Lonchura striata: one gene and its partners. The protein of the gene in region 4 interacts with the protein of the main gene of each other region in a biochemical or structural test. Links are inferred from orthologs where the notes say so. Each region holds a gene or a part of one and is shown on either strand. Other genes may lie near its edges. The genes, in order: HIF1A, E2F1, POU2F1 and SP1.

Region 1 (7,299 bases), on a different chromosome or scaffold from region 4:
GACCTCGTGGAATTCCTCTGTCAACTCAATACTTCACAGTGGTGCTGTGAGCAAGACAGGTTTTTTGGTCAAATATGGATAGGCTAGAATATACCCTTCATTATAGCTCAATTACTGAACCAGTGAGTGTTAACTCCCTACATGTAGGTGATGCCTTAAGTTGTAATTTTCATATTTTTCAGATTCTGTACGGCATTAGTAGATAGCTCTGAACTTCATAAAAATTGTTAGCAAGTTCTCTTCGCAGTTTAATTAGAAAAAACAATCATTTTCCAGCCCAAGAACCAAGGACACCATTGCAGCTTCAGCCCCAAAAAGTATAAACAACAGGAGGATAGGACTTAATAACCTGAAGCTGTAATTGAAAGCCGTTCCCAATATGGAAATGGACCAAAACTTATAAAAGTGTGAAAATTCGTGACCCATAATCCATCTTGGGTGTAGTGTTGGCCAGGCTTTTGTGCTGCCCAAGGTGTATACTTTGAAGACTTAAAATAAATATGTACTTTCCTTTAACACTGTCTAGCTTTTGTTCTAGGTAGCCTCTCAAGGCAGCATAGGGGGCTCTACAATGAAGCAAAAGCCCAGGAAAGCCAGTGCTGAGGGCAGGTTGCTTGTGACATCCCCAGTGATGTGAGCTGCCAGCTCCAGAGAGACAAACAGAGTTTCTCTTTAACACCCTCTGCCTGCCCCAGTGAGTCCCTGCTCAGAAATGGTGAGTGGGTTTGGGAGGTAAGATGTCTTAATTAAATCCCTGATTTTTTTTCCCACCGCAGTCAGAAGTTCTGCCAGTCGTTATTGATAGGGATGCACTTGGATCCTGAGAGTAAATGCCTCCAGAGCCCATCGCGGTGACACGTGTCTCTTCAGCAAACAGATCCGAAGCCAGGGGCAGGAGCACTTCTCACATCTTCAGCCGGACTTGTTCTGCTGCCCAGTCGCTGCCGCTGTCCTCCCGAGCCGTTCGCTGACTCATCAGCTTGTGCATTTGCCCTAATTAGTCATTTGCAAGCACCATTGTGCTCAGGAAGTTCTCTAACGTAAGCGTGAGTGGGAACTTAGAGCAGCAATAAAGGTCAAGAAAAGTGACTAAGGCATCATATACTGGAATAAGTTTCTGTTATCAGCCACTGGGAAAGTGGGAAAGAAAGTGTATATGCAGACTATTAGAGGAGTGACACAAAAGTTTAATAAAGGGAAGGATGTGTGTGAGGGAGAACATTTGCTTAACATCTCTCAAGAACTGCTACAGTATGAAATGCTTAATTGCAGAACAAGTTTCCACTAACACCCTTCAGAAACACAGCTGGGTTTTGAAGCATTATTCTTTATTATGAGCTCGGGGTAAGCATGTTTGGCATGAAAGAAATGTGTCTCGTAAGGAGACCACAACACTTACTCACAACTCCCCAGACAGTTCATGCTGGGAAGTCTGATACCTTTGAACAATCATTTGAGCAGCATTAGCAAAGTGTAGACTGGAATTTTCTCCAGTGATTTTTACTCAGGGGTCACCAACACATCCCGAGCTGTTATGTCCAAGTGATTTAAAGTGAGCAGAACCTTAGGTAAGAATACTCAATGATAAACCCTTTTGATGTATTGCACATTATGTGAATTTGGATAGTAGTAATAAAAGTGCACAAGTGAACCCTAAGACATCCATGCTTATAGGCACTAAAATTGTCATTCAAAGAGTCACTAGAGTGAAAACACAATCCTATTGGGTAGGGTAAGGTGGGTTCTGTAGCTTATAACTCAGCAGTCCCTGGTCCAGACTGCATCAAGTGCCTCTTGGTCTTTGAAGGGCACTGAGATTGCAGTCAAAGTAAAGAAGAGGCTTTCACTTTCAAGTGTGCCAGGCTCACCAGGAACCACTTCAACCTCAATCTGAGCGATTAGAGAAGCTGCAACGGCTGCTCTGAGTTGCACCAGCCTCCTCTAAGGCACGGGAAGTTCCTCTGTTATCACCCCTTCACTACCAAAAATCCCCGGATGCCTTCCAGGGGCTCTGGTGGGGAAGGTGGCATTGAGCTGGCCTTGTCATTTCTGCACCCACCAGGAGATCCCTCCCCATTTAGCCAGAAAATCCTCTAGGGGCTGTTATGGTGACTCTGTGAACAGACTAAAAAAACCTACACAAGCTGCAGTGCACAACTGAATTTCTTACTATGTCTGAGCTGCCTAAACTTCATTTTGAAAGATAAAGTTGTCTGTGAGCCCTTGGGGAGGGCTTCTTGGTACTTATGCAAGACACTTGAGGTTGAGTCTTGCTTAGATTGTTTTTCTTCTCAAGGCTTCAGTAAGCACAGAACAACAGAAATATCAGTAGTTCACAGCCACACTGCCATGGGCTATTGTGTTGTCACAGCTCATAAGCAAAGCAGAGCTGGGCTTTGTCCATGTTTGGATGCAAAAACCTTGAGGGAATAAAAGTAGTCAGAAGCACCTGTGCCTCTTCCACATATCTGACTGCTGTGGGCAGAAGCAATCATTTTCATACAGGAACTCCTTGTGATTGCTAACAAATGTCACAGTCACTTCTTTTTCTTCTTCTAAATAAAAAAATAATAATAATAACCCCCCCAATACAGAACACCCATGACTGTATGCCTAAACCAACCTGGAAGTTGGGAATCCACAGCAGAAGTGTTAGGAAGGTGCAGTACTGAAACACCATCACTTTGCCCTGCAGGTGTTTCTTATGTGCACACAGCAGCTAAAGAATGCCACTCATGCCTGTCAAAGCTGCTTTTTTTTTAAAGGTATCATTACTGCTGAGCTGCAAACCGAGTAGTCTCATAAGGTTCAGCTCCAGATGGTCACTTGAAGTCCTTGCTAGTAGGAACCCACAAGATGTAAAGGAACGCCTGAGCTCTGTGGGGTCACTCCACCTGGAACTGTGCCTTCCCTGCCTCCCCAGAGTGCTTACCCACACATGACCCTGAGCTAAGGGTACAGAGCTAAGGCTCTTAACTTTAAATGTGTGGGCTCTGCCCCAGTTTTCCTCTCCTTGCTCTCCCATGGCTGTATCCTGGCTCCTGATCCAAGAGGCCACTTGCCTGTGTGGCCATGTCAGTGCCAGGTGTCCAGCCCCTCCTGCTGTGCCTCCAGGGCCAGCTAAGGTCAGCAGGAGATCCTGTGGCTCTCAGGTGAGCAGTGCCTGAGGCCAGGCTTGCCATGGGGGGCACAGGGAGAGGAAAATTGGGCACAGGCACTGGGAAAATGGCATTGGATCTAGGCCAGCCTGGGTGGGTGGCAGGGAAGGCAGAGGGGTCACAGTGCCTCAGCACAGCCTCCTGGCTCTGCTGTTGGGTTTGCTTTGGGTTTGGGAAGTTGTAAAACTTGCTCGAAATGTGCTTAATTACCTGTCGGTTCCCCTTCTGGGCTGCCCGGCTGTTGAGCTGACTGTTCCCTTTAATTAATGTGAAGTTCTGAACCCTTTAACTGGAAATGGACTAGAAAATGTCCTGTGAGGAGTGGCTGCGGGACCTGGGTTTGCTTTGTCCAGAGAAGAGGAGGTGCAGGGGGTGCTCCATCACTGTGTAGAACTCACGGAGAGGAGGTGTAGGGAGGTCTCTGCTGCCGTGGCTGCAGTGAGAGGACAGGAGGACATGCTCTTAATGCACGATAGGGAAGATTCAGGTTAGGTAGAAAATAAAAATGTCTCTGTTAGGATGGTCAGGCATGGGAATAGGCTCTTCGGGTATGGTGGAGTCACCATCCCTGGAGGTGTTTAAGAGGCGCTGGGGATGCGATTTAGGGGCTGCAGGAGCAGTGCCAGGTGTATGATTGGACTGGATGATCTTAAAGGTCTCTTCCAACCTCGATGTTGTAGAAACATCCCGGGCTTTTACTGTACTACACCTCTGGGAGAGGCAGCGGAGTCTAGCACTGACCAAAGATGAAAGGAGGCGATAAAGAAGGGACCATCTCCTCGCGCTGTGCCCACGGGGGTGCGATTTGCGGCGGGACCCGCACGGGCCCCGCCGGCGGGCGCGGTGGGGCCGAGGGGCGCTGTGGGGCCGCTGTGGGGCCGGCCGGGAGCGATCGGGCCGCGGTGGGGCCGCGGTGGGGCCGGCCAGGAGCGATCGGGCCGCTGTGGGGCCGCGGTGGGGCTGCGGTGGGGCCGGCCAGGAGCGATCGGGCCGCGGTGGGGCCGCGGTGGGGCCGGCCGGGCCCGGGCCCGCCCCGCACGCAGCGCCGCACGTGAGGCGCGGCCCCCGCCCAGCTGAGCGCTCAGCTGACCCCGCGCAGGGGCCGGGCCGCGCCGCCGCTCCTCACTGGCGCAGCGCGGGCCCCGCGCCGCGCCCGCACCTCCCCGCAGCCCGTGCCCCGATGCTCTGAGCCCGCGCGGCCCCACACCCGGCTCGGCGCCGCCATCTCCCCGCCACCGCCATCGGAGCCTCGCGTCCCAGGGAGCCGGCGGGAGGAGAAGCCGTCCCGCCGCCATGGACAGCCCCGGCGGCGTCACCGACAAGAAGAGGTAGCGATGCCGCGCCGCCCCCCGCCGCTCTCTGCTGCCGGGCCCCGCCGCCCCCTGCTTTGTTACCGCCGCCCCCTCCTCGTCCTCTTCCCCGCCGCCCTCGCCCGGCCCGCGGAGCGCTCCGCTCTTCCATTCCTCCTTCTCCTTCTCGTCCACGTCGCCATTTTGTCGGCGGGGGGAGCGGGCCGGGGCTCGGGGCCGGGGGGAAGCGCCCGGGCTCGGCCGCGCTGCCCGGCAGCGACCCGGGGCCGCTCCGCTCCCGGAGACGGGCGGGCAGGGATCGATCGTGCCCCGTGCCCGGCGCGCTCCCAGCCCGCCGTGCCCCGGCTTTGTGCGCAAAAGGGCCGGCTCGCATTCTGGAGATACTCGGCTTTTAAAAAATCCCCAAAAGTCGCGCTGGGGAGGTGTAAGGGGGGAGGGGGGGGCGGATGGACAATGTGAGTTGAGGAGTATGAATAATTCACCGAGGATTGTAAGCGCAAATTAGAGGAAAGGGTGGGGGGGAATAAAACCCTTAAAAGCCTTTGTTAGGCGGTGAAGTTTAAGGAGCCGGGGGGCTCGGGTGAGCAGGTCCCGGCGGTGGGGCTTTGTGGAGGGATTAATTGCCGCGTTCGCCATCTGCAGAAGGTTTGTTTATATGGATATCGATACCTTTTCTCGCCTTTTAATTATTCGAGATGCGTTTTGCCTGCCCTTGTATCCAAGGGTCATCTGAGCAGATTAAGCGCAGTAAGTGTTCCAGCGTGTAAGTTGTGTCGGGAAGGAGCCTGGCCGCTTGTAAAATGGATGGTGAGCTTTGTGCCGGGCTGGGAGGAGGCGCCGGCGGCCTCGGAGCGCCTTTGGAGCCGGTGCCGGGGAGGGATGGGAGAAGCGCCTCTCGGTCCGGTGAAATCCCAGCACGGGGGCACCCGGGGTGGCATTCCACCTCTGGTTTCTCTACTCCGGGAGGATGGCTCCTGAGGAGCCTGTGAGAAAATGTTGCAACCAAAATGATTAATCTGCTCTTTGCTCTGATGCCCTAATTTAGTGGCAGGTCTAGGAAAGGGGTTTGAGAGTTGTTTTCTGAGACTTTTATTTTGGTTTATTGGGCTTTTTTGTTTATCTTTTTTATCTTACTTTTGCCTTTGAGCATTTGTTATTTTTAACTTACCGTTCTGCCCCACTGGAAAACTTTTTCTTTTTCTTTTTTTATTTTTTTTGAATTGCCTTATCCTGGATGTAATCTGCTTTCTTCAGAATGCAAGAATGAGTATGCAAAGCTCATCCTTCCTTCCTAAAGGCAGGGCTTAAGAAAGAGAATTTGTTGTTTTCTGTTTCATGCAGACAAAGTTCAAAGTCAGGAATGTTTCTTATAAAGGAATATTCAGATTACTCCTGTTGCAGGGTTTTAATGGAAAACATAGAGCTGTGTCTGTGGTACATTCATCCTGGGGGCTGTGGATGTACAGTTGAGCGAAGATGGCTAAGCAAAAAAAGGAAGGATATGAGCTCAGCAGAGAACTTCATGAAAATAGAAATGCTTGCATTTCTCAAAAACCTGGGTTGTTTTTGAAGGGTTTAGGTTTGATAGTGTCCATATTCAGAATACCTTGAAGGGAGAAGTCCTTTACGTCCTTTTCTTTATCACCTTTGATGATAAAACTTTGGCTAATTGTATATACAGTACACCTCAATTTTGGCATGGGTTAAGATTCTTTTATTCCTTGCCTCTCCCTCTGCTTGTATGTGGATAGTGTTTATCTCTTGATAGTTAATGTAAAGCTTCTTATTCACTTAATTATATGCTGTGAGATTCAGAAAATATGGAATTTGCCCAAGTTTATGTCTCAGTCTTTAAAGTGAAGTTTGGTCATAGCAGTATCTGAAGGTGTGGATTTTTATACTGGCCTGTTGAGTCAATTTTTTGATGTGGTTCCAAGCTTCTTGTATATGTACAGGGGTCAAGATTCCCTAAGAAATCAAGTATCACGCCATGATTAGATACTGAATTATTTGGGTTTTAGCCATTCTTCAGTAGTTGTATCACTTTGATGTGCTCCTGGGTTTTCCCCCAGGTGCTCAAGGACTGCGTTTCTATGCATGGAGTGGGTGAAACAGAGTTGTTGGGAGCTTTGTTTGCTCATCCACTCTCATTTGAACCAAATTTAAGGCTTTTGGTGAGAAGTATGGGATTTTTCTCAATATTCTTTTAACAAACTCCAGTGTGCAGATGGCTGATGTAGTGAAAAGCTTTTCCTCGGGTCTGTGCTGTGACACTTCACTATTAGCAGAGGAATTCTAGTGTCTTTTTAAGTAAACAGTCATTTAGGGTTATGGATTAGTCCTTACTTTTGTAGTGGCTTGCAGCTCGTAGGTAACGCGGAGTCATTTTGTTAGTGTGCTGTAAGTCTTTAGAACATAAAATACATATTTTAAATGCTATAGGTACTAAATAAATATGGTAAGTGATTTTTGGAGCATTCATTCTGGGTCTTAAGATGGTATAAGCCAATGAAATTTAATATTCTGACATGGGTGCCTTGCAGAAGAACGTCAGCTTTTCAGTTCCTCAGAGTTGGGCCTTGAAACTTATTTTTTAGTGTCTAAAGGGGATGATTTGGAAGATCAGGGATTTTCTGCTGGATTTTTGCCACCGAAGTCCAGCTCCAGAATCTGTTTGAGAAGCCTGTACCCTGTGCTGATGGCTCTGAAGTGCAATGGCTACCCCTGTTTTTTCTTAAACGTGTATGAGGTCTTTAGGATTGTGTGTACCAGTGCTTTTGTCTGTTAATTTCTCTCAGCGCTGGGGGAACTGAGCCACCATTGCTAGAGTC
Region 2 (7,435 bases), on a different chromosome or scaffold from region 4:
TCTCCAAAGAAACCCCAAAAAAAGCTTTCTTGGCTATGGAGCTGCTGCCTTCCCACCTCCCTGCCTTGTTGGGGTGCCTGAGCAGCATGGCAGCTCCTTGCTTGTGCCAACGGCAGAGGGGCTGATGAGAGCCACTGTGACATCCCACCAGCTCCCTCGTGTCCCCAGCTCCCTCGTGTCCCCAGCTCCCTCGTGTCCCCAGGCCCACCTTGCTCTCCAGGCAGCAGCGGCATGTTCACATCCTGGGCAGGATGCAGGAGCAGGGAGGCTCTGGGCTGGGAATGGCTGGGAGAAGAGTCCTCTGCAGGGGCTTTGAAGGGGCTCTTGACGGGGCTGCAGACCCCAGAGCTGTCCTCGGGGCAGAGGAACACATCAATGGGGCCCTGAGTGCTTCGCAGGGAGACCTGGAATGCCTGGGGAAGGGGACAGGAGTGAGACAAGGTGGCACAAGAACACCCAGGGAACAGCCGGGGCTGTTCAGGGAGGGCACAGCAGGAGCAGAACGTGACCCCAACTCACCTCTGCTGGGTCTGAGACCTGCAGCTGGGTCTCTGGGGGGGCTTTGATAACCATCACCATTTGCTCCGCGGGGTCCACAATGCTGCGGAGGTCCTGGCAGGTGACATAGGCTGCGGTGGGGTGGGTCAAGGAAGGGACACGGGGATGTGGGCTGAGAAACTCCCTGCCTGTGCCACCGCGGCTCAAGCACAGCCCCACCCAGCCAGCCCCACCCCAGAACCAAAGGATATTGCTGGTTGGCGGGGTCCTCGGTGAGCAGGCGCAGCTGCACCGTGCACATCTGGATGAGGTCATCCAGCTGCCGCTCGGCCGCCTGCAGCTCCCGCAGCTCCTTCTCCAGCAGCCGGTGCCGGCCTGGCGCTCCCACCGTGGCCTGGCTGCCCCTGGGGAGCACCGTGTCCATCAGGAGCCGCTCCCACAGCTTCCAGGGCCCCACCCAGGCCAGGCCACATCCCACCCCCCCGGCAGGGAACCAGCCCTGCAGGGATTTTGCAGCAGAGTGCTGCTCCCCCAAGGCTGGATGCAGCCCTCCCCTCCCCTGGGTGACTCGGGGAGTCCCAGGGGGACTCGCAGGACCCTCCTGCCATTGAGCACAGCCGTCCCCACAGGGAGCCACCACTTGGCCTGCAGCAGAAGCTCTGGTGACCCCGCCCTGAAATTCTCCACCCAGGTAAGACCCTCCTCCTCCCAGACAGCTCCCCCACCCCAGGAACAGCCAGGCACAGCCCCATGAGCCAGCGACATACAGCCACTGGATGTGGTTCTTGGACTTCTTGGTGATGAGCTGTATGCCCTCCAGGACATTGGTGATGTCGTAGATGCGCCTCTTCTGCACCTTCAGGACGTCGGCCGCCCAGTTGAGGTCCACCACACCATCTGGGGACTGGCTCAGCAGCTCCAGGAAGCGCTTGGTGGTGAGGTTCAGGGAGGTTTCATAGCGGGACTTCTCTCCAGGAGACTTTGCCCCTGCCAGACGTGGAGGACAAGTTTCATCCACAGCTGAAGCTGAAAGGTCACAAAACTCCTGCCATACTTGCAGGTGGCTTGTGGACTAGTGACCAGGACTGGCACCCCAAACCCAATCTGTTATCTCAGGGCAACGGGGTGAGTTGCCCAAATCCCCTGTAGGAAGGATGTTGCAGCACCTGGCACAAGCTGTGACACCTGTGCTCCGTTGTGACCACAGCTGTGACTGAGACACCAAGTGCCAGGCTGGGCTTGGGGGGAGATAACAGCAGGTCCACCTGGGACACTGCACTGACACCATGCTGGCACCTACAGCTCCATCCCACGGGGAGGGACAGAGCCGGAGGGGTGCCCAGCACAAGGGCAGGACAGCCATGCCACCAGCACAGGGCACAGCAGTGAGTGTGGAGGGTGGACAGAGGCAGGCCAGCCCCGGGAACAGCCCATCCACACCGACACAAAGGGCCTGGAAGGAGCTACCAGGATGAGCCTGGGGGAGCAGAGTGGGGCTGCTGGACCTCTGCTCTGAGCTGGGCTGGCAAGGGGGCCGGGGGGAGTGGAGCCGGTACCTTTAGCGGGGTTCCTGGCCTTGCCCCGGCTCACTGGCAAACTCTCCGCTATGTACTGGTGATCCGTCTCCAAGTTCAGCTTCCTCTTCACCTGCAAGGGCCGGGGTCAGCACAGGGACAGCCGCCCCAGGCCCCACTGCTGTGAAGGGTTTCTGTGAGGACCCCCCACAGCACAGTGGGGTACAGACACCCCGGATCCCGGCAGGAAGGGGTTGATGAGAGCTGTCACCCCGCTGGCAGGGATGGGGGCTGGCCCAGCCGCGGGGCCCCGCCGCGCTGCGGGGAGCGCCCCAAAGCCGACCGGGCCGTGGCTGGGGAGGCCAAGCACGGCCCGGCGCCGGGGCCTGCGGCTTCCGGAGCGGCGGCGGGGCAGGGCCGGCCCGGCAGGTGCTGCGTGGCACGGCCCGGCCGTACAGCCTGGCACAGCCGGGTGCACCGGGCACGGGCTGACACGGAGCAGGGCACGGCATATGGCACAGCACGGGGCACAGCAGGGTGAAATACGGTCCGGCCCGGTACGGAGCCCTGTCCGCTGTACAGCCCGGCTGGCTTTGGCACGGCTCGCTACATAGCACGGCCCGGTACGCAGCCGGGCCCATTGTACAGCCCGGCTCGGTGTAGCCCGGTCGGGTATACGGCCCGGTCGTTACAGGCCGGTTCGAGGCCCAATACTGCACAGCTCGGAACACAGCCCGGGCTCGCCGGTCCCCGGAGCCCCCGCCCGGCCCCCGCCCGCTCCCCATCCCACTCGCGGGGGTTACCGGCGGGCGGCCCAGCGCGGGCCGTCTGGGCGCGGCGCCGGGGCGGGCGGGCTGCGGCGTGGCGAAGAGCAGGAGGTCGGTATCGGGGTGGCCGCCGCCCGCGGGCTCCTCGGCGGCGGAGACGATCAGGAGGTGCGGGGAGGCGCTGCCCAGCAGCGCTGCCAGCCCCGCCGCGCCGCCCGCCGCCGCCATGGCTCACATGGCAGCCGGTGCCGCCGGTGCGGCGGGCGGCGCGGCGGGCAGGGCGCGGACAGGGGCGCGGCCCATGGCGGGCGCGGGGCCGCTGCGCTCCAGCTCCGGCTCCGGCTCCGGCTCCGGTGCGGCCGCCGCCGGATTGTTCGGCGCGCCGGCCCCGCGCGCCTTTGCGCGCCAAATCCTTTTTGCCGCGAAAAGCGGCGCGAGCCGCCCCGCCGCCCGCCCATTGGCTGCGCCCGCCTCGGCGGGGAGGAGAGAACGCGCTGCCATTGGCCGCGGCGCGCGGGGCGGCGGGCGGTGCCGCGCGGCCATTGGCGGGCGGGGGCCGCGCTGACAGGCGGCCAATCAGCGGCGCCGCGCCCGGGCGGCGGCCAATGGGAGCGCGGCTCGGGGACGCGGCGGGGGCGCAGCGCGGGTGCGGCGCGCGCTGCGTGTGTCCCCCTCGGGGTGTCCCCTCCCGTGTCCCTCTTTGTGTCCCCCGTGTCCCCCTCGGGGTGTCCCCTCCCGTGTCTCGGTGTCCCCCTCGGGGTGTCCCCTCCCGTGTTCCTCTTTGTGTCCCCCGTGTCCCCCTCGGGGTGTCCCCTTCCGTGTCTCGGTGTCCCCCTCGGGGTGTCCCCTCCCGTGTTCCTCTTTGTGTCCCCCGTGTCCCCCTCGGGGTGTCCCCTCCGTGTCCCTCTTTGTGTCCCCCGTGTCCCTCTCGAGGTGTCCCCTCCCGTGTCCCTGTTTGACAAGAGGGTGTCCCCCTCGTGTGCCGCCGCGGATTCCTCGCTCCGAGCCGGCCCCGGCTGCCGGTGTTCCCAGCCGTGGGGATTTCAGGGCTCGGGCCGAGCCGGTCCCGGCCCGGGCTCAGCCCCGCCGGGGTGCTGCGCTTCCGGCTGCGGGCGCGGCCGCTCCCCGCTCCGGATGGCGCGGGAGGACGGGGCACGCACCCACGAGCAAAGTTCAGCTCGCTCCCCTGCCCTGCGGACTCCGCCCGCCCACGGGTGTCACTGCTGGGGAAGAGGGCGGCTTTGGGCTCTGCGGGGCGTCGCAGGCTGCCCCCCGTGTGTTCCCCTTGCCCGGGGGTGACAGCCAGCCCAGCCTGGCCCGGCCCCCCGCAGCAATGCCTCGCAGTGGGGACATCAGTGGCTCCTCTCCTGTGCTGCGGGCCGTGGGCAGGATTTCTGTCTGGGCGCTGGGGCGTTGAAGGGCTCGGTTCAGGGCTGTCCACCTCCCTTGTGGAAGCAGCCCCGAGACCACGGCTGAGGCTGTCCGACAAATCTGGAGGCTTCGGGCTCTGACGCTGCTCCAGGGCCCAGCGCACACGGGAGGGCTGGGATGCTGCAATCTGCTCCATCCGTCTGCCCGGGGATTCACGGCATTCTGTTTGCAAACAGCTGCGGATCTCGGCAGCTCCTTCAGGAATGGCTGATAACCCCTTAGAGGGCAGAGGAAAAGCTCTGCCGGGAGCACAACCTGCACTTGACCGTGCCAGGCGCTATCTCCGGCCGTGGGAGCGTGTGGCTGGGGAGAGGCAGGGACACAGGGACGGCAGACGGAGCCGGGAGTGGCCCCATATGCTGAGAAAGATGAGAGTCCACCCATGAGACACGGGACAGGCAGCTCCCAGCACCAGTATCTCCTGTCTGCAGGACACTGATAACCTCCTGCTGCATGAGGAGGCAAAATTAAAAAGGAAAAAAGTACATCCTGCTAATAAAAAAAAAAAATTAAAAAGCATTTAAAGATTAGGCTTTTTGCAAGGCCCAGACATGGGGAAGCTCATGAGGAAAGTTTGTAGAGGGGTCTGATCCAAGCACCCAAACCCATGCTGAGCCAAGCTCAGGGTTTGACCCCTCTGTGCCCCCCACGTGCCCCCGGGGGTTGGTGGTCGAGCACAGTGACCCCCAGCCCACTGCTGCTGCCAGGCAGAGCTGTGAGCCAGTGCTGGCTCCTGCTGCCAACCCTGACCTGCCCGGGATGCAGGAGAAGGGCTGTTTTCCCAGCACTGCAGAAGGGCTGTTTTCCCAGCACTGCAGGAGAAGGGCTGTTTTCCCAGCAGTGCGTGGGATGCAGGAGGCATTTGCAGGGATGAGTTAACCTCTTTGCTGTGGAGCAGATCCTGACATGCAGTGCCCCTGTGCTGGCCTAACAGGTTTCTGGCTTTAAAGGATTTTATGCTGGATGCTTTGGCAGTGGCTGCAATTCCTCTGGGGGTGGCCAGTGTGGAGCAGGGCTGTGATTTCCCTGGGTCCCTCCATCCTTAAATACAGCAGTAACATGGTGCATGTCCGTGACCAATCCAATAAACTCGCTGTGCCTCATTTCTTCATCAGCAGAGAGCAAATAGAAACGCTGCCTTGCTTAAAGGAAATTAATATAGTTAATTAACACTTGGCCCTTCTAATATTCCGGGCCCCACTCTCCAGAGCCCTTCCACTGCAATATCATCATTACTAGGAAGCATAAGCAACAGTTAGACCAGATGTTTGCACACAGTTAATGCTTCTTCCATCTGGGGAAGGGGGAAAAAGGCAACCCCAGCAGCCGGGCGGGAGCGCATGGCTGGCGGTGCTCTCCCCATCCCTGGGGAGCCTCAGCCCGGCGCTTCCTGGGATGAGGCAGGGTTTGGGACACAGCTGCTGCACCAGCTGCTCCCGCTCGGCTCACAAAGGCTGCCTTCACCCCCCTAATTCATGCAGGAGCTCTTCGGGGGGAGCAGGCTCTGCCCCCTCTCCCGGAGGCTGCGCTTCGACTTCTCCGAGGCTTTCAGCGCCGGCGGCGCGAAAAGGGGCGGCTGTGGAGACAAATGAAAGGCGAACGCTGGTGGGAGAAGGACGGGCAGGGCCTTTCTGGCATGTGGGTGAGGGGAAGCAGATGAATTCTGTCTCCTGCACAACTGCAGCCTCCCCCGGCAGCCCCGCTGAGGAGCGCGGACGTGCTCCCGAGATTATCCGTGCGGCAGGTGCTGCTCCCGATAAAGTCCAGACTGCTCATCCCTGCCTTCACATCCCTGCCTTCACATCCCTGTCTGCACATCCCTGTCTGCATGTCCCTGCCTTCATATCCCTGCCTTCACATCCCTGTCTGCTCATCCCTGCCTTCACATCCCTGTCTGCACATCCCTGCCTTCACATCCCTGTCTGCACATCCCTGTCTGCATGTCCCTGCCTTCATATCCCTGTCTGCACATCCCTGTCTGCTCATCCCTGCCTTCACATCCCTGCCTTCACAGCCCTGTCTGCATGTCCCTGCCTTCATATCCCTGTCTGCACATCCCTGTCTGCACATCCCTGTCTGCACATCCCTGCCTTCACATCCCTGTCTGCATATCCCTGCCTGTTCATCCCTGCCTGTTCATCCCTGTCTGCACATCCTTGCGTGCACAGCCCTGCCTGCACATCCATGCCTGCACATCCCTGCCTGTACATCCCTGCCTTCATATCCCTGTCTGCACATCCCTGCCTGCACAGCCCTGCCTGTTCATCCCTGTCTGCTCATCCCTGTCTGCACAGCCCTGCCTGCCCATCCCTGCCTGCTCAGCCCTGCCTTCACATCCCTGCCTGCCCATCCCTGCCTGCTCATCCCTGCCTGCCCATCCCTGCCTGCACATCCCTGCCTGCTCATCCCTGCCTGCACATCCCTGTCTGCCCATCCCTGCCTGCACAGCCCCGCTCTCTCCTGCACAGCAGTGGGAAGGCTGCTCAGACACCTCGTGCCGTGGCAGCCGCTGAGTTTGGGTGGGTTTGGCACTGTGGGATAGACTCAGAGCAAGGCTGTGTGCTGGGAGAAGTCTGCAGCTGGAGCACAGCTGGTACCTGCGCTGGAAAATCACCTGGCAGCGGGAGCAGGGGGGAGGAGAGCTGCAGGATGCAAACCCCTTGCTGGGTTAAGGGCAGCCTGTGGGTGTCCCAGGAGCACATTTACTGTCCCTGCCATCGCAGAGGCAGTCCCAACCTCCAGCAGTTCCCACCGGGAGTGTGTCACATGTGAGCAGAGCAGGACTTCCCTGGGGTCTCCTGCCAATGTCCCTGTCCCAGTTCCCTGGTTTGTTCGCAAGATGGTGAGTTGGCAGTGTGGCACAATCTGCCTGTGGTGGGGACACACAGCTGGGGAAAGCCCAGAGCCCCCCCAGTTCTGCCCTGACCCTACAGTCCCTCACCTCTGCCACCTGAGCCGTCACCGTTGTTCTGTGCAAACCAAAGCCACTTTCTGGAAGCTTCTAGAAGTGTCTAAAGCTGGCTTGTGGCAGAAGGGGCAGCCCTGGTTTAGGTGTTTCCTCTCAGATCCCAGTCCCAAAAGCCAGGCAGTGCTTGTTCCCTTGCATCTCTTACAGAAGACACAGCCCTTGTCACAGGACACCAGGTCAGCTCCTCTTTTGGATGCTGGGCACGCCAGACCCAGCAGTGCCATCTCCTCCTCTCTGTTTTTAAAGCTCACACCATG
Region 3 (7,549 bases), on a different chromosome or scaffold from region 4:
TTTTCACAACCTCTGCTTAGCACATTCAAGCTACAAATTCAGTCTTGAAAAACAAGAATTCTGCTAAGGTTACAAGTACAGAACCTATAGCTTCCAAGCTCCTTATTTTGTCATTTTCCACATATGGATGGCATGTTTCACACTCTAGAAACAGAACATGGGTTCTACTGACTATACAGAAATGTCTGCTCTTGATTTAGCCCTCTCTGCTGAGAGATCCATATTTCTATCTAGACATTGCATATATCTCAAATTGAGTTTATTGTTGTGGCAACAGCACACCTAGAATGATTTGAGGCAACAAAATGTGGTTTGATGCTTACAGTGATTATAGGCAACATGCTTTTGATAAGCAGTATTCATTCATTCCTTTACACACAGATGACTACTGAAATTTCACTTTAGGGAAGACCGAATGGGAGTCCTTTGCTTTGGACACAAATATGAAGAGTCCTCCCTCATCCAACAGGAAAATGAGCAAAGAGTTCTTACAAGTCAAATACATTTTGTTGTGGAAACCAGGCTAACTCATAAGGCTACTGGACACAGGATGTAATTTTAAGCCCAGAGCAGAAGAATAGCTTGAACTCAAGATACAACTGACCACAAAAGGGAAGAGCACAGGTTGAGAAAGTTGTCTCTCAGAAAGATGGAATCCATTTGCTGAACCACGTCTGTTGCAGGAATTGAAGTATTAGAGCCAAGGTGCAGGCTACTAATGATAGAATAAGCAAAGCAAACTAAACCCAGAGGGGGGACACAGCTGTCCTGTGCCCAGAACTCAAGCAGGGCAGTCACTGTTCTGTCCTATGAGGAAGCTCACACAAGAAGCCTTCCTACATGATGAGCAAGTTTGCTCAGTCACACGAAGTTATAACTGTACAGACCTCTTTCCAAAAAGCAAGCCAGGACACGTTTTTCTGTCAGGCTATGCTGCAAAATATCCTTCCAGAATAGGTTTTTTAGTACTAGACATACACAAAGTTTACTTAACTACCAAAAGCCTGTCTAAATGAAGAATATTTTATTGTAAAGGTCCATCCTTAACAAAGACCTCAAACATTGCTATTGAAAAAAGCAGCAAGTTAGAAGAAGAAACATCTTTCTGGTAGTGCTCAGGTTCAAGCGAAGGATAGCATCCATTATTTCACCAGCTGACTATTTCTTGTTCAATCTGTGAGCCTTCTGCATGTAAAGCATCAAGAACAATACAGCTATTTCCATTGCAAATGGTATGACATCCATCTGAAGCACAAAACTGCTACCAGCAAAACAGGCTCATATCCGCGGGATACTCAACCTACTGATTCATTCTATGTCGAATAAAAAGGCTGCTTGGTTTGTATGTGCTCATGCAATTTCTGCTTCAAACTTAAAAGAATAAACAAATGAAGTGGGCTTAAAAAACCCCAAGCCTTAATGCCTTCACCTTTTTTTCTTCCTTTAGATCTTCCTTGGGTTTTAAATAAAGGCCCTGGGCTACAACTTCTGCCAACATTATCTAAAAACAAACTCCCCAGAAGGAAGGATCGAAAGCAGCAGGTGCATGATTGAAATCAAACTCTCAGGAGTGAATACATTCCATGCTGCTACTCTGCTAGCAGGGCTGAGGTGTCGCCAGGCAGTGCTGTGCCAGCCTTTCACACACCCTCAGGAATATTTCCAAAGGCATTCAGCAGTGGACACCGGACCAGCCTGAAGTGTTATAATGACTGCACACAGCTGGCAAAGCAAAGAAAAATCTTAACATGTTATATAACATTAACTGTTTTCTTTCACCCAAAGTAAAAGCGGAACTGCCTAATATTCCATGTGCACCAGCAAAAATTATTCATTTATATGCACGGGAGAAACAAAGTTTAATGTGAGTGAAAACATGACAAGAATTATTTAGAAATTAATTTTCAAAAACCACATCATATTCAGAAACAAACATACTCAAACGTCTGCTTTAAAATTTAGCATTAAAAAAAATATCCTTTTACTTAGAGATATATGTTCTTATATGAACTTATATGATTGGAATGAAAATAATACTAATAAAAAAAATATATATATATACATTGAGCTTTTGGGGGGAAAAGCCTTGAAAAGAAATAAAACCTATTGTAAAATTGAGATGATCCATTACTATAAATAACTTTAAAAGACAAAAAGAAGGAATTATGGCATGTCTGTTCCGCAGTCCTGATGGAATCTCAGCGCAGGAAATATATTATCCCAGTAACCTTAAGCACAGCTTGCAACCGTATCAATGGCAACCACTGTGCACTCCCCCTTATTTTCTATTACACACGAAGAACCTTGCTATATTAAAAATACACACACATAACATACATTCTGTTGTGGAATGGTTCAATACAGTTACTAAATTCTTTCAACACTTATGCTCCCTCTCATTCATTTTAATGCCTTAAAATGCATAACACACAGATATGCAAGTCAAGCCCAGTGTTTGTTAGAAGGCAAATGCTTCTCAGACTGAAATCCTAAAAGCAAAAGGTCTGAATTAATATCACCCAAGCCTGTGTAGAGGAAACGAATTCTCCTGGAGCAAGGGAAAAGAGGGAAAACAAACAAACAAACCAAAGCATGTATTTCCCTGGTACAGATCGAGCTATCCACCTAGCAGGCAGCTATTTGCTGCCGATTCACTGGTGAGCTTCAGCCCCACAAATACCTTCTGCATATGTGATTAAGCCACTATGCATAGTCAATCTCCCAGCCTCGGTGACCATAAGAAAGAGCTGAGCTGGTACCCACCTAGAACGTAGTCGCTGCAGTCCAGCATTGCTGTGGTATCCTCTACAGGTTCAGATAGTCCAAGGAACGGGAGAATGGCAATTTCTATCAAATCTACACTACTGCTCTGACTGAACATGAAAGGGAGTGGGGAGGTGGGGGGAGAAATACAACTTCAGTTACACCATAGCAATCTTCAACCGAACAGGGAAACTTCAGTTGCTGTGTGGAGTTTTAGTCTCTCCTACTAGCTGTGTCTGACATTGTCAAGGCGACTGAAGCGTGAAAAGTTCCCCTTTTTGTAATAAAATAGAAACAAAGATTGCAGCTGGCAGTTTCCATAATGAAGCTTAATCAGTATGCGCCTGATTAGGGCCTTATGCAAATCTCCTCTCGTTAGCACAGCAGCCAGCACTTTGAAGTCCATGAACAATTCATTTGCAGAGTACACTGAAAGCGCTCCCTGCATAATTTAAATCACGGTATAAATATTTATCAGCTCATTTGCATATTAATTGGCAGTGCATGAAGGGAAAAATTATCTCCCGAGTGCCAGCATAATAATTAGGGAACAAAATGAATTTTCTTCCAATAGCTTGGCTTCTCAGCCCTAACTCAAGCACAGTACCACAGGGGATCAGGGAGGGGAAGAGACAGAGTTCTGTTCAAATGCCACTGAAATGACACGTACAAATTAGAAACAACTCTACAGACTTAAGCACCTTTAATCTTATTCCTGCTGGCAACAATAACATCAGTAATAAAGGGGATTTGGAAAAAGCTTTCCACACAATCCAAATAATCCCACGAAAACAATTAGCAAGGTAGAAGCTGAACACAAAGCTGTCAAGCCGGTGCTTGCGCATCTGCGTGGAGTTTTCCACATGCGAACACGCACTGTCTCAGCAAGGTCCCAGGCAGGGAAGAGAGTCCTGCCAGGGCAAGGAAGTGGCACGATTCCCTTTAAACGGCTAAAGAGCTTGGTGATTCATTATCGGGTAATCCCTTTGCCACGGCCAACTTAGCAGCAGTGGATATGTCAAGTATTGTGTAACATTTGACACCCATTAATCTATCCCGAGTGAAATCAAAATAGATTTAGTCTTTTGCTTTCCAGTGACTTCCAAGAAAAAAACCAAAAATCTATTACTAATCCCTTCAAGCATGCACACAATATGGCTAAAGAAAGCTTATTTGCAGAGCTATGGTTTTTCAAAGGGGCACGTCACACCCACGCTGCATCTTTGAACCACTTGGTGATAACCAGAACGTGCCTGCTGCTGTGACCACAAAAGTACACTGGAGCACTGGAGAACTGAGAAGAGGCTTTGGTCTATGGAGAAATCAATCTTCTTTTCCAAAAGTGGTCCAGAGAAGTAAGTGGGCTAACTATGATGTTCTATTAAACCATTTCAGATAGTTTGTTGGCCACTCAAAAACTTGTGTCCTAAACAGCAAGAACATTTGTATAAAAATTCAAGCATGATGCGACAATCACAAAATTTATTACTCCATAATCTGGTCAGGAAAAAGTAGTGTGATGATGCAGATGATTACAGGGTTGAGCCACCCACTTCCAGGTGCTAATGTGAATTTAAAGAGTAAGTTGTTTTTCCTTTAAAAATACCATAGCTGTACTTTTCTTCTCCTCATTTCTCAAGTGAATTCAAGCACCACCTCTACAAACAAGAGGGAGTGAGAGAAAAGGGACTTCTCAATCATCCAGTACTGACTGGAATTTATTTCCACGCTTGACCTCTTCTTCTGTTCAGGTTCATATCTCTACTTAACACAAGATGTTCCCAGCTATATATTTAACATAAGTGATCTACACTTGAAAAAGATTGCAAGAGAGGGAGAAGGTGCTCCCTACTACAAGGAGACAACTGCACGTGCTGAATAGGTTTTCCTAATACCTTGTTTCCAACCTGGTTTTCCACTCACTCATATGTCCCACTGAGACCTCTGAGGCACACATTCATGGTTCGCAGACCTTCAGTAAACTTCACTCCTGCATACATACTTTTGGAATGCACTGGGAGATAATCCGTTTGCTTTATCGGAAGAGCCTGGACAGCACTGGTGGAACAAACCAAGCACTTGAGAAAGCAAGGGGCTGAGCTGAGGCAGCAGCAGAGCAGGACAGCAGTGCTCTCCTCAGACCGAGGGCGCTGGGCTGGTGGAACACAGGTGCAGCCCCAGGGGGCAGGAAGTGACCTGACCGTTAGCATCGCGCACTGCGTGGCCATGGCTGATCTGCCTCACAAACACCAACCCCCACACAAACCCCCACTGGAGCTGCAACATCCACTAACAGCCTAATTGAACTAAAAAATTATGTGTTGACCTGTCAAATTAACAACTGGCCAACAAAAACCCAACCAAAGAAAAACGCTCCCCAAACCAACCAAAACCAAACACCACAAAAAATCCAAACCAAATTGTTCTTTCAGTGAGTTCTTCATTCTTTGGCAATTTTATTATCTTATCTTTTATCTAAGCTCATAGAATCATAGAATGGTTTGAGTTGGAAGGGACTTTAATGATCACACAGGTCCAGCTCCCTACTCTGGTCAGGGACAACTTTCACTAGACCAGGTTGCTCAAAGCCCCATCCAGCCTGGCTATGAACACTTCTAGGGATGGGGCAGCCACTTTTTGTTTGGCTCTGTTGTTTTTTTTTGTTGTTGTTTGTTTGTTTGTTTAAATTTACCATTGTCAATCTTTTAATCTCTGCTGCAGTAAAATAGGAAAATGGAAAATGTCTGGAGAAGAATGGTGACTATCACTCTGCTCCAAAACCAGTGGTGGAATACACATTCGTTTAATGTTCTCTTTAGGTTCTGCCACAACACTGCACATTCTTTTCTTTATGGCTAGTCATTAAAAGTTACTTAACACCCTGATCCAAGGACATACTTCTAGTACTCATGTTTAAGCAAAACAGCACTCTGGGCTTTGTTCACAGTTTCATTTTTCCTCCAAAGACACCTCTCAGAAGAGAAAATGCTGCACCTTGTGATAAGTAAAAAGCTTGAAATATCCCATAAAACTACAGATATCTCAAAAAATGTGTCTCTCGTTTCTCCTCTTCAGCCAATTCTGCAGTTTTTACATAATTATTTCCTCCCCCCTCTGCCCCCCCCCCCCATTCTTATTCAAACTCTTCCTTAAAATCAAAGGAACTATCATGGAGCCAGGTATGACAAAAGCAGATTTTCTTTCGCCAGACACTTTGGAACCTGCAGATAACATTTCAGGAGACTCTTTCTACCCCATTCACTTCTTTTTGTCACTTTCTATGTATTTTCCACACCATACCACTTCAAATGAATGTCTTCTTTTGCAGTCTGCCCCATGAATATATCACTTTCTTTATTCAGTTATAATGACAGTACCTGGTTCCTTAATACCACTGTTTTTGGAAAGGGAACATCATTTTTACCTGTAGACTATGCAACTCTTGGTTTTTTTTATATGGATGTGTTTCCATATATTACTAAAATGTCATTTACTACATGGCCTCCATGACAGCTAAGAAATTTCTGCCCTATCCAGCTCAGTGACAAGCATGACCTTTGCAAACTTCAGGGCCACACTTGGTGATTACCCAATAAGCCAACTCATTATTTCCCTTTTAAACAGTGTACTTGGAGTAGAGTGCAAAGGAATACATACAAATGGAATACAAAATACAGGGAAAGGAAATACAGCATTAGCTGAAACATTAGCATGCTGCCTTCATTAGTGTATCAATGCCTAGGACATTCTACCTTGAAGGTACTACATATTTCCAAGTCTCCAACCACCCAAACAAAACCTAACAAAAATTTCAAAAAACAGAACTCCAATGTGTTATTTAAAAAATTGTAAAAATCACACACTTCAACAAAATAAACTGTTATTAAAGTTGGCACAATCCTCTTAGAGTAATTATGGACAGACAGCAGTCTGTTCATAGCTAGGGCTGCAAGCTAACTAATTTTAGCCACCACCTTTGACTGTGGCTAACAGAATTGATTTTATCTGAAAATTGGTGAGTTAGCTCTGAAAGCCAAAAAGAGCAGTTGTCTGGAAAAGTCAAATAAAATTGGCCTGGTTTAGACTTACTGGTCATTAGGCAATTGCTATGAATTGGAATTTTAATCTACATCTAATTTTACTTCTCACAAACTCAAATCATAACTATCCTTTAAAACTTTCAATGACACAAAATGCCTTTCAAAATTCCTTTGTGTACATTTTGGAAGGAAATTAAGCATGTGGAGAGCTAAGCAGGAATGCTAATGTATCTTATCAGTGCAGGACAGCGGATACTTGTTAGCACCTGATACATTAATATAAAAGGGTTTGTTTATGGGTTTGGTTTTTAATGCAACTTATTCTTGTCCACAGAAGGTAGAAACTACCATGGATTAAGTCTTTTTTTCAGAGAAATAAAACTGTGTTCATAACAAATTTACAATACCATCACACAAGGAGGGAAAGAAAAAGGGGGGCAGTGATATGATGAGAGAAAATAAAATAAATACCCTTATTCAAAAAATACAGAATTATAACTTCCACAAGCAAATAGACTTATTTGAAACTCACAGCTAATTGTGCCACTCAGGTGTATCATCTGAACACTTTGCCCTCCCCTTAATGCCTTCAACCCATAGCACATAAGAAAGCACCCATATGATATTTACATAAGTTTTTCTTCCATCCTGTTCAAAGTTTTCTTTTCAATAACAAAGGCTACAAATCCAGTGCAGTCAATTCTTGTTGTCTAAGTAAATATTATTGTCATAACATTTACTTAGAA
Region 4 (7,785 bases):
CCAGCGTGATTGTCTGCGCCTGGGGGTTCTGCACCTGCAGGTTCTGCAGCTGGATGGTCTGCCAGCTCACCTGCCCGTTGGGACCCACCGTGGGCGTGCGGATGATGATGGGGCCGGAGTTGGGCACGGCTTGGAGCTGCAGGTTCTGCAAGGTGTCTTGGGAGATGGCTTGAGTGGCAAAGGTCTGCCCAGACAGCGGGGTGGTCTGGAGGGCTTGGATCGTCTGCCCTCCTTGGACCAGCTGTGGCTGGATCAGGAGCTGCTGCTGCTGCTGCTGCGACTGCTGACTCTGATCCCCCTCCTTCTGCTGCCCCGGCTGCAGGGCCACCCCGGACACCGGGGTCTGCAGAGAGTCCGAGCTGGGGACGCTGCTGGCCCTCTGGGGGGTCTGTGACTGCACGTTGGTGCCCACCGTGGCGCTGGTGGAGAAATTCATGACGCCCACGTTACTGGTGGTGGTGGTGGTGGAGTAGCTGTTGGCGTTGGTGAAGAAAGCGCCCGAGCTGGCCTGGGATGTGGCCGTGCTGCCCGAGCTGCTGGCAGCCCCCGAGGTGGCCGGCTGGGAGCTGCTGTCCGGCGAGCCCGAGCTGCTGAGGGTGCCCGTCTGGGACGTGGGGGCCAGGCTGGCGGCCACGCTGTTGACCGGCAGCAGGGTGATGTTGCCGTTCAGGGCCACGGGCACGTTGGCCACGTACTGGGTCTGCCCGGAGAGGCTGTTGTTGGCCAGCCCCACGCCCTGGATGGGCACGGCCTGCTGCAGCAGGTTGGGCATGGCGATGAGGTTGCTGCCGCCCGCACGGCTCGTGATGATCTGCTGGTTGGAGCCGGGGATGATCTGCAGCTGCCCCGAGGCATCCTGCTGCACGTTCACCTGCGCCGGGGTGGTGGCAAACTGCAGCTGCTGCCCGTCGATGGTCTGGAACTGGGGGATCACCTGGTACTGGATGTTGGGGATGACGCCCGGCAGGCCCGTCAGCACCTGCTGGTTCTGCAGGCCGGACGCCGAGGTGACCACGTAGGGCCCGGTGCTGACCGGGCGGCTCTTGGAGGCGTCGCCGCCGTTGCTGCCGTTGCTGCCCGGCTCCTTGGAGCCCGTGGGGGTGCTGGAGCCTGCCGAGATGATCTGCCAGCCGTTGGACGACTGGGTGAGCTGGGCGGCGGCCGCGTTCAGGTCCAGCTCGCCGCTCCCACCCTGCTGGCCCTGGGAGCTGTTGGAGTTCTCATTGGGAGACTCGATGCGGCTGCAGGTGGCTGCCAGCAGGGCCAGCGGGGACGGCTGTGACTCCTGGGGACGAGAGGAGGAGTTACGGGGCTGGGAGGCGGCCCGAGGGGCAGGCCCGGAGTGAAAAAAAAAAAAAACAACGGGGAAACAAAAAAAAATAATTAAAAAACCAACTTAAGAAAACAGGGAGGAGCATACTCGGAAAAGATAAACACTCCTTCCTGAACAAACCCACCCACAGCCGGAAAAATACAACTGCCAGGCACAAGGCTGACAGGCCGGGACAGCCTGAACCCACACGGAAAAGCCTTTTGGGAGGGAGCCTGCCCGGGAAAGCCAAGAGAGGAGAGGGCTCCTCCACTGCCGAGCCGGGCAATCCCCCTGAGGCACGACGAACCCCCAGGAAGGAGGGTCATTCCCGGGCTCCCCGAGCTGGAGACGGGCCAGCGGGGGCCGTGGTGTCACCGGGAGCAGGGGAACTGCGTGTTTCCGAGGAGAGCCGGGGAGGAGGGGAAGGCACCGGCGCTGCTTGGCAGCGCTCACCCTCCTCTTCCTGCCCGGGCTGAAACGCTTGCCCGGGCCCGGCAGACAGCTCAGCCCGGGCCTGGACTTTGCCACGGGCTCCCCGGGGCCAGCGGGGCCGATCCTCCCCCACTCACCTGCGTGTCCCCACCGCCGGCGCTGCTCGTGCTGCTGGCGTCGCCTTCGCCCTTGTCGGGCTTCACAGCCGACATCTCCTCGGTGCTCTCTTGGTCTGCGCAGGAGGGAAGGGACAGCCCCGGTTAGGGACATTTTGGGGCAGGGCAGCGGCACGAGGCTCGGCAGGGCCAGGCAGGGCCCGGAGGGGACACGGCGGGCTGGCTGCGGGGGGACCACGCGCTGCCGGCGCCGCCGGGAAGGGGCTGCGGAGCGCGGGGAGCTGCCAAAGAGGAGCTGGCAGCGGGACAGGGGGGGAGGTCCCGGCCGCGCTCCAGGGCCCGGCTCCTCCCCGGCCGCCCGGGACACTCCCTGGCCCCCGCCGAGGAGCTCCCCGGCGCTCCCGTCGCCCGGCCGGGGCACGCACCTCCCGCCGCGGGATCCCCGGCCCGGGGCTGCCCGCCCGCGGCGCCCCCAGCGCGGGGGGCTCCTCTCCCACCAAGTCCTCGCTCTGCCGGCGCTCAGCCGCCTCCTCATCCTCCGCCGGGCACCGGGGCTGCGCCCCGCTGCTGCCGTCACCCCAGCACCCCTCACCGGGGTCTGCACCGGGGACGGGGCGCGCAACGCCCCCGGCCGCTCGCTCCTTCCCGCGGCTCCCGCACGGCCCCCCCGCCCCCGGCTCCCGCATCCGCCCCCGCAGGGCGCCGTGCCCGGCTCCGGGGGAAAGCCCCCGGGCCGCTGCGCCCGCAGCCGCCCACCCCCGCGGCCTCCCCCGCCGTCCCCGCGCCCCCTCCCCCGGGATCTCGGCCGCCCCCCCCCGCCCCCAGCCCCGCTCCCCGGGGCCTCCCCATCACTCCCCGCCGCCCCCTCCTCCGCTCCAGCCCTGCCCGGCGCGGCCGCCGGTCCCTCCCCCGAGGCCTTCCCCCCTCCCCCGGGTCCCTCCCCCGGCAGGTCCCCCCGGCGCGGCGCGGCGAGGCCCGGCCCGGCGGGGCCCGGCCCGGCGGGGCGGGGCCGCCTCTGGCCCCTCCGAGCGGGCGGGCGCCGCCGCCTGTGCGTGTGCCCGGGGCCCCGCGCGGCGCTCGGCCCCGGCCCCGTCCTTACCGCTCATGGTGCCGGGGCCGGGCCGGGCGCGCGGGGCGGGGCGGGGGCGCGGGCGGGCGAGCGGCCGAACCCGCCGGTGCCGCCGAGGGGCTGCCGAGGGAGGGGCCGCGCGCCGCGGCCGCAGCCCCGCGCCCCGCCCCCGCCGCCCCCGCAGCCAATGGGCGCCGCGCGAGCGGCGGAGCGACGGGCAGCGCGGCCAATGGGAAGAGAGGGCGGTGCGGCGCGGGGGGAGAGGAGGGCGGGCGGTCCCCGCCCCCGGCACCCCGCCCCGTGGGGGAGGGGGAGCGCGGCGGGGCGGCGGCCAATGGGGGCGCGGGGGGGAGGGGGCGGGCGGCGGCTCAGCCAATCGGCGCCCGCGCGGGCTCGCAGGGAGACCCCGTATGGGCGCGGCCGCGGCGGCGCGGGCCGCGGCGTGATGAACGTGCGCCGCCGCCAATGGGGCGCGGGAGGCCGGGCGTGGCGGTCACCGGCAGCGCCCCGCGCCAACCGGCTGCGCGGGCCGCGCCGCGGGGCGGGAGAGGAGCCGATAGTGATGGTAGCGGCCGCTAATCCGAGCGCGGAGGCGGCAGCCGCGGCGCGGCCCGCAGCCAATCAGAGCGCCGCTCGGTCTCAAACGGGCCAATGGGCGCCGCGGGGGGGCGGGGCCAGCGGCCGGGCTGCGCCCTTGGGGGGACGGCGCGGCGGATGGCGGCGCCGCCATGTTGGGCTCGGCTCCCTCAGGGCCGGCCGCGCTCCCCGGGCCCGGCCGGGGCTGTCCCCGCCTCGGTACCGCGGGCTGCGTGCGGCTCTTCCCTCCTCGAGTCCCCGCTCCGTGCCGCAAGACGGCTCGGCCGTGTCGCGACAGCCGCCATGGCGGCGCGACACGTCCTCAGGAGCTGTGTGAAGCCCAGAGCCCTGTCACGACATCGCCCTGTCCCGACACAGCGGGCAGCCCGGCCGCCCTTGCCGTGGGAGCGCGGCCTGGGGGCTTTGGGGCCCAGATCCTTCATTTCACAGCAAAAGGGGCGCTTTGGGGGCGGCAGGGACAGCGAGGGACACGGCCCGGCCTTGGTTTCGCTTTCCACCGTCAAAATCGCCCCCCGTGACCCTCCCATTTCCCGCTGTTTTCGGCCCAATTCCCACCCCGCAGCCCGGGAAGGCCCCGCGGCCTCGGCCCCGCACCCGACGGGGCTTGGGGACAACCTGGCTCTGACCCTGGCCCTTCCCTGTCCCTGCCCTGTCTCTGCCTTATCCCTTCCCTTCCCTGTCCCTGCCCTGTCCCTGCCGTGTCCCACTCTTGTCCCTTCCCTGTCCCCATCCTGTCCCTTCCCTGCCCTGTCCCCCTCTTGTCCCTGTCCTGTCCCTGCCCTGTCCCCATCCTGTCCCTGCCCTGTCCCCCGGACCATGGGGGTCACTCGGTGTCCCCTTGTGACCCGCGATGGTGGCACCTGGGGTGGTCACCGGGACTGTCCCCGTCCTGCCACCGGAGCTGAGCCCGGGGGCTGCGCTGGGCTGGGGGGTCGAGGGCAGGTCCTGGCCCGTCAGACCCCCCCTCACCCCGTTATCCCAGCCGGGTCCTTGTCCCGGTGACCCCCTCCGGTAACTGCCCCCTCTGGGGACACCCATGGCCCCCCAGCCCCGTCGGGCCTCCTCCAATTAACACCCCCAATTAACCCCTCCCTGCCCCGGGACCCCTCCCCCGTGTCCCCGCGCGCCCCCCGGTGGTCGCGGCCGGGCGGTGCCGCCCCCGGGCCCGAGGCTTTGCTGCCGCCTGGCGGGGGCGCCACGGGCACCGGCAGTGTCACCGTGTCACCGGCAGTGTCACCGACAGTGTCACCGAGTGTCACCGGCAGTGTCACCGTGTCACCGGCAGTGTCACCGACAGTGTCACCGACAGTGTCACCGGCAGTGTCACCGTGTCACCGACAGTGTCACCGACAGTGTCACCGTGTCACCGACAGTGTCACCGACTGTCACCCGCCATGACAGGACCCGGGCACCAACGGTCACCGACTATCACTGACAGTGTCACCGACTGTCACCCACCACAGTGGGACCTGGGCACCGACTGCCACTGGTCCTGCCCTGGCACCAGCACTGTCACTGGTCCTGTCCTGGCACCAGGAGCGTCCCTAGCAGTGTCCCCCGTCGTGTCGTGCCCCCAAGGGTGTCCCCAAAGCTGCCCTGTCCTGTCCCACACAGTGCCTCCATCCCTGCCCTGTTCTGTCCCCATCTCTGTCCTCAGCCCTGTCCTGTCCCCGGGGTTCTCACATCCGGGTGCTGTCCTGTCCCGTGTCCCCAGAAGTGTCCCCAACCCTGCACTGTCCCTGCGCTCCCTCTGCTGCTGTCCCCAGGCCTGTCCTGTCCCCATCGTGTCGCTGTCCCCGCCTCCCCCTGGCCGGGGCGGCTCAGGGCACGGGGACAGAGGAGCCTCAGCCTTGGACTGGGGGCAAACTGGGAGCACTGGGGCGGGCCGGGGGGGGCAGCGGGGTTAGCCTGGGGTGCCCCACCCCCGCTGCCACCCCCCGATTGTCCCTCTGGGTCCCCCCCTCCCCCGGCAGGTCGCGGCCGCGGAGGAATCAGGGCGACGCCGGGCGACTCCCAGCAATTTTGGGTTGGGAACCGCAGAAATGCAGCGCGGCGCGAGCCAGGGCGGATCGGCCCGGGGACAGCGACGGGCGGGGGACCGGGGGGGGAGCACGGGACCGGGGGGTCACAGCCCCGGGGGGACCGGGGGGGGACACAAGGCACCGGGGGCTGAGACACCCGGGGCATCCTGGGGGGCTCAGGGCTGGGGAGGGGTCGCTGCAGGCTGGGGGTGGTCCCAGGGTCAGGGGGGTCCCTGGCAGCGTGGAGGGGTCCCGGGATATTGGGGGAGGGGGTGTCCAGGCGTGGGGGGAGTCCCTGGCAGCTTGGGGAGCAGGTGGGGTACCCCAGATTTCCATGGGAGGGTTTCGGCAGCTTGGAGGGGACAGGGGGCACGGTGGCAGCTTGGGGGGCTCCTCTCGCAGCCTGCGGGGGTCCTTCAGCAGCCGGAGGGGGGGCCAGGCCCCCGGTGCCGCCCCCGCGGCTGCCGCTGCCACCGCTCTGATGTGGCTTCGGCACCGCAGCGCAATGGGAGCCACATGGCGGGGGGGACACGGGGGGAGCACACGGACCGGGGGGCGGGCTCGGGGTGCCCGCGGTGCTGGGGGCCACCGCTGTCCCCCCGGGAGCACCCTGTACCCCCGGGACCACCCTGTCCCCCCGGGGCACCACTGTCCCCCCAGGACCACCCTGTCCCCCCGGGGCACCCTGTACCACCGGGGCACCACTGTACCTGTCCCCCCGGGATCACCCTGTACCACCGGGGCACCGCTGTCCCCCCGGGGCACCACTGTACCACCGGGGCACCGCTGTACCACCGAGACCACCCTGTACCCCCGGGGCACCACTGTACCTGTCCCCCCGGGACCACCCTGTACCTGTCCCCCCGGGACCACCCTGTCCCCCCGGGGCACCCTGTACCACCGAGACCACCCTGTACCCCCGGGGCACCACTGTACCTGTCCCCCCGGGACCACCCTGTACCCCCGGGACACCGCTGTCCCCCCGGGAGCACCCTGTCCCCCCGGGACCACCCTGTACCCCCGGGACCACCCTGTACCTCCGGGACACCACTGTCCCCCCAAGGCCACCCTGTCCCCCGGGGCCTGCCCGGGGTCTGTCCCCGGTCCGTCTGTCCCCACCGGGGGTCCGTCCGGCTCGGTGCCCGTGTCTCCCCCCCCGCCCCCCGCAGTTATTTCCAGGGATAATTCCGGGATAATTAAAGGGTGGGAGGAAACACCGGGGCCGCGGGCGCAGCTCAGCCCCGGGGCCACCCTGCGCTGGCTTCCCCGTGGGTGGGAGCCCCCCAGCCCCACTGCGGGTGCCCCTCTGTCCCTGCAGGTCCCTGTCCCCGTCCAGCCCCGTGTCCCCACACGTCCCCCGGCTCCTCCTGCCCCCCACCTTCCCCCCGCTTTCCTCCTGCCCCGCAGACCCTCCCTGTGCCCCGCCTTGCTGAGGGGCATCTCTGGGATGCCCGGGAGGGCTCCGAACACCGGGTGCCCCCCGTGGGTGGTGCTGGGTGGGGGGAGCTCGGCCCAGTTCCGAGCCCTCGGAGCCTCCGCCGGTCCCCCCGGTCCCGCGGGGCCCGTGGGCGGCCGTGGCCGGCGCACCCAGCGCGGGGGCTGCGCTATTTCGGGGCCTCCGACCGCAAGGGAAACATCCGGGGGCCGGGGAGGGCGGGCGGGGCAGGGCCGGGCCGGGGGGACACGGGGGACACCGCGCCAGGTGAGGGGTGGGGGGACGCGGGGATCCCCGAGCTGGTTCCGCTTCCCCCCCCCGACCCCGAGGGGCTGCGGTGCCCCCGCCGACACCGCGGGGATCGGGGGGGACAGCACTGCCGGGACCCCCGCACCGGGCACGGAGCGTTTCCTGGCCCCGGGGACCGGGATGGGGACAGGGACACCTCCGGCCCTGCAACCCCTGTCGTGCTGAGACCCCCCCAAGACTCATCTCAGGGGGCTGAGACCCCCCAAACTCGTGTCATGGTGGAGCTGAGATCCCCTCAGATTTGGGACAGAGCGGCTGAGCCCCCTCAAATTCGTGCCAGCTCCGGAGCCACGCTGATAAACGGGGGAGGGATGGGAAGGAGGGATGGAGAGGAGGATGGAGGGAGGGATGGACAGACGGACGGTGGCTGGCCGGCTGCCCGTGGACGGAGCCCCCCCGCTCCGTGTCCCCCCCGCCCTGGCGAGGTCCCGGCGTCCGGCCGGGTATAAATACCGGGTAATTGCGGGGGCCCGGCGCGGCCGCGGGGCCGTGGG

Evidence for each region.
Region 1: the proteins of SP1 (region 4) and HIF1A form a complex in vitro, tested with the Homo sapiens proteins (2 studies listed by BioGRID). The link is inferred for Lonchura striata from reciprocal best matches to the Homo sapiens genes SP1 and HIF1A.
Region 2: the proteins of SP1 (region 4) and E2F1 form a complex in vitro, tested with the Homo sapiens proteins (4 studies listed by BioGRID and IntAct). The link is inferred for Lonchura striata from reciprocal best matches to the Homo sapiens genes SP1 and E2F1.
Region 3: the proteins of SP1 (region 4) and POU2F1 form a complex in vitro, tested with the Homo sapiens proteins (3 studies listed by BioGRID and IntAct). The link is inferred for Lonchura striata from reciprocal best matches to the Homo sapiens genes SP1 and POU2F1.

Annotation. Positions count from the first base shown.
Region 1 is NC_134608.1:6,158,445-6,165,743, forward strand, and holds the start of HIF1A (hypoxia-inducible factor 1-alpha), read left to right. Parts: upstream 1-4,297; 5' UTR 4,298-4,451; coding exon 4,452-4,486; intron 4,487-7,299.
Region 2 is NC_134619.1:12,541,473-12,548,907, forward strand, and holds the start of E2F1 (transcription factor E2F1), read right to left. Parts: upstream 3,008-7,435; coding exon 2,816-3,007; intron 2,146-2,815; coding exon 2,055-2,145; intron 1,486-2,054; coding exon 1,266-1,485; intron 903-1,265; coding exon 750-902; intron 635-749; coding exon 520-634; intron 414-519; coding exon 209-413; intron 1-208. UniProt on the Homo sapiens protein: Transcription activator that binds DNA cooperatively with DP proteins through the E2 recognition site, 5'-TTTC[CG]CGC-3' found in the promoter region of a number of genes whose products are involved in cell cycle regulation or in DNA replication.
Region 3 is NC_134604.1:14,930,916-14,938,464, reverse strand, and holds the start of POU2F1 (POU domain, class 2, transcription factor 1), read right to left. Parts: upstream 3,003-7,549; 5' UTR 2,882-3,002; coding exon 2,764-2,881; intron 1-2,763. UniProt on the Homo sapiens protein: Transcription factor that binds to the octamer motif (5'-ATTTGCAT-3') and activates the promoters of the genes for some small nuclear RNAs (snRNA) and of genes such as those for histone H2B and immunoglobulins.
Region 4 is NC_134629.1:8,069,613-8,077,397, reverse strand, and holds the start of SP1 (transcription factor Sp1), read right to left. Parts: upstream 3,005-7,785; 5' UTR 2,967-3,004; coding exon 2,960-2,966; intron 2,525-2,959; exon of another isoform or gene 2,286-2,524; intron 1,977-2,285; coding exon 1,882-1,976; intron 1,313-1,881; coding exon 1-1,312. UniProt on the Homo sapiens protein: Transcription factor that can activate or repress transcription in response to physiological and pathological stimuli.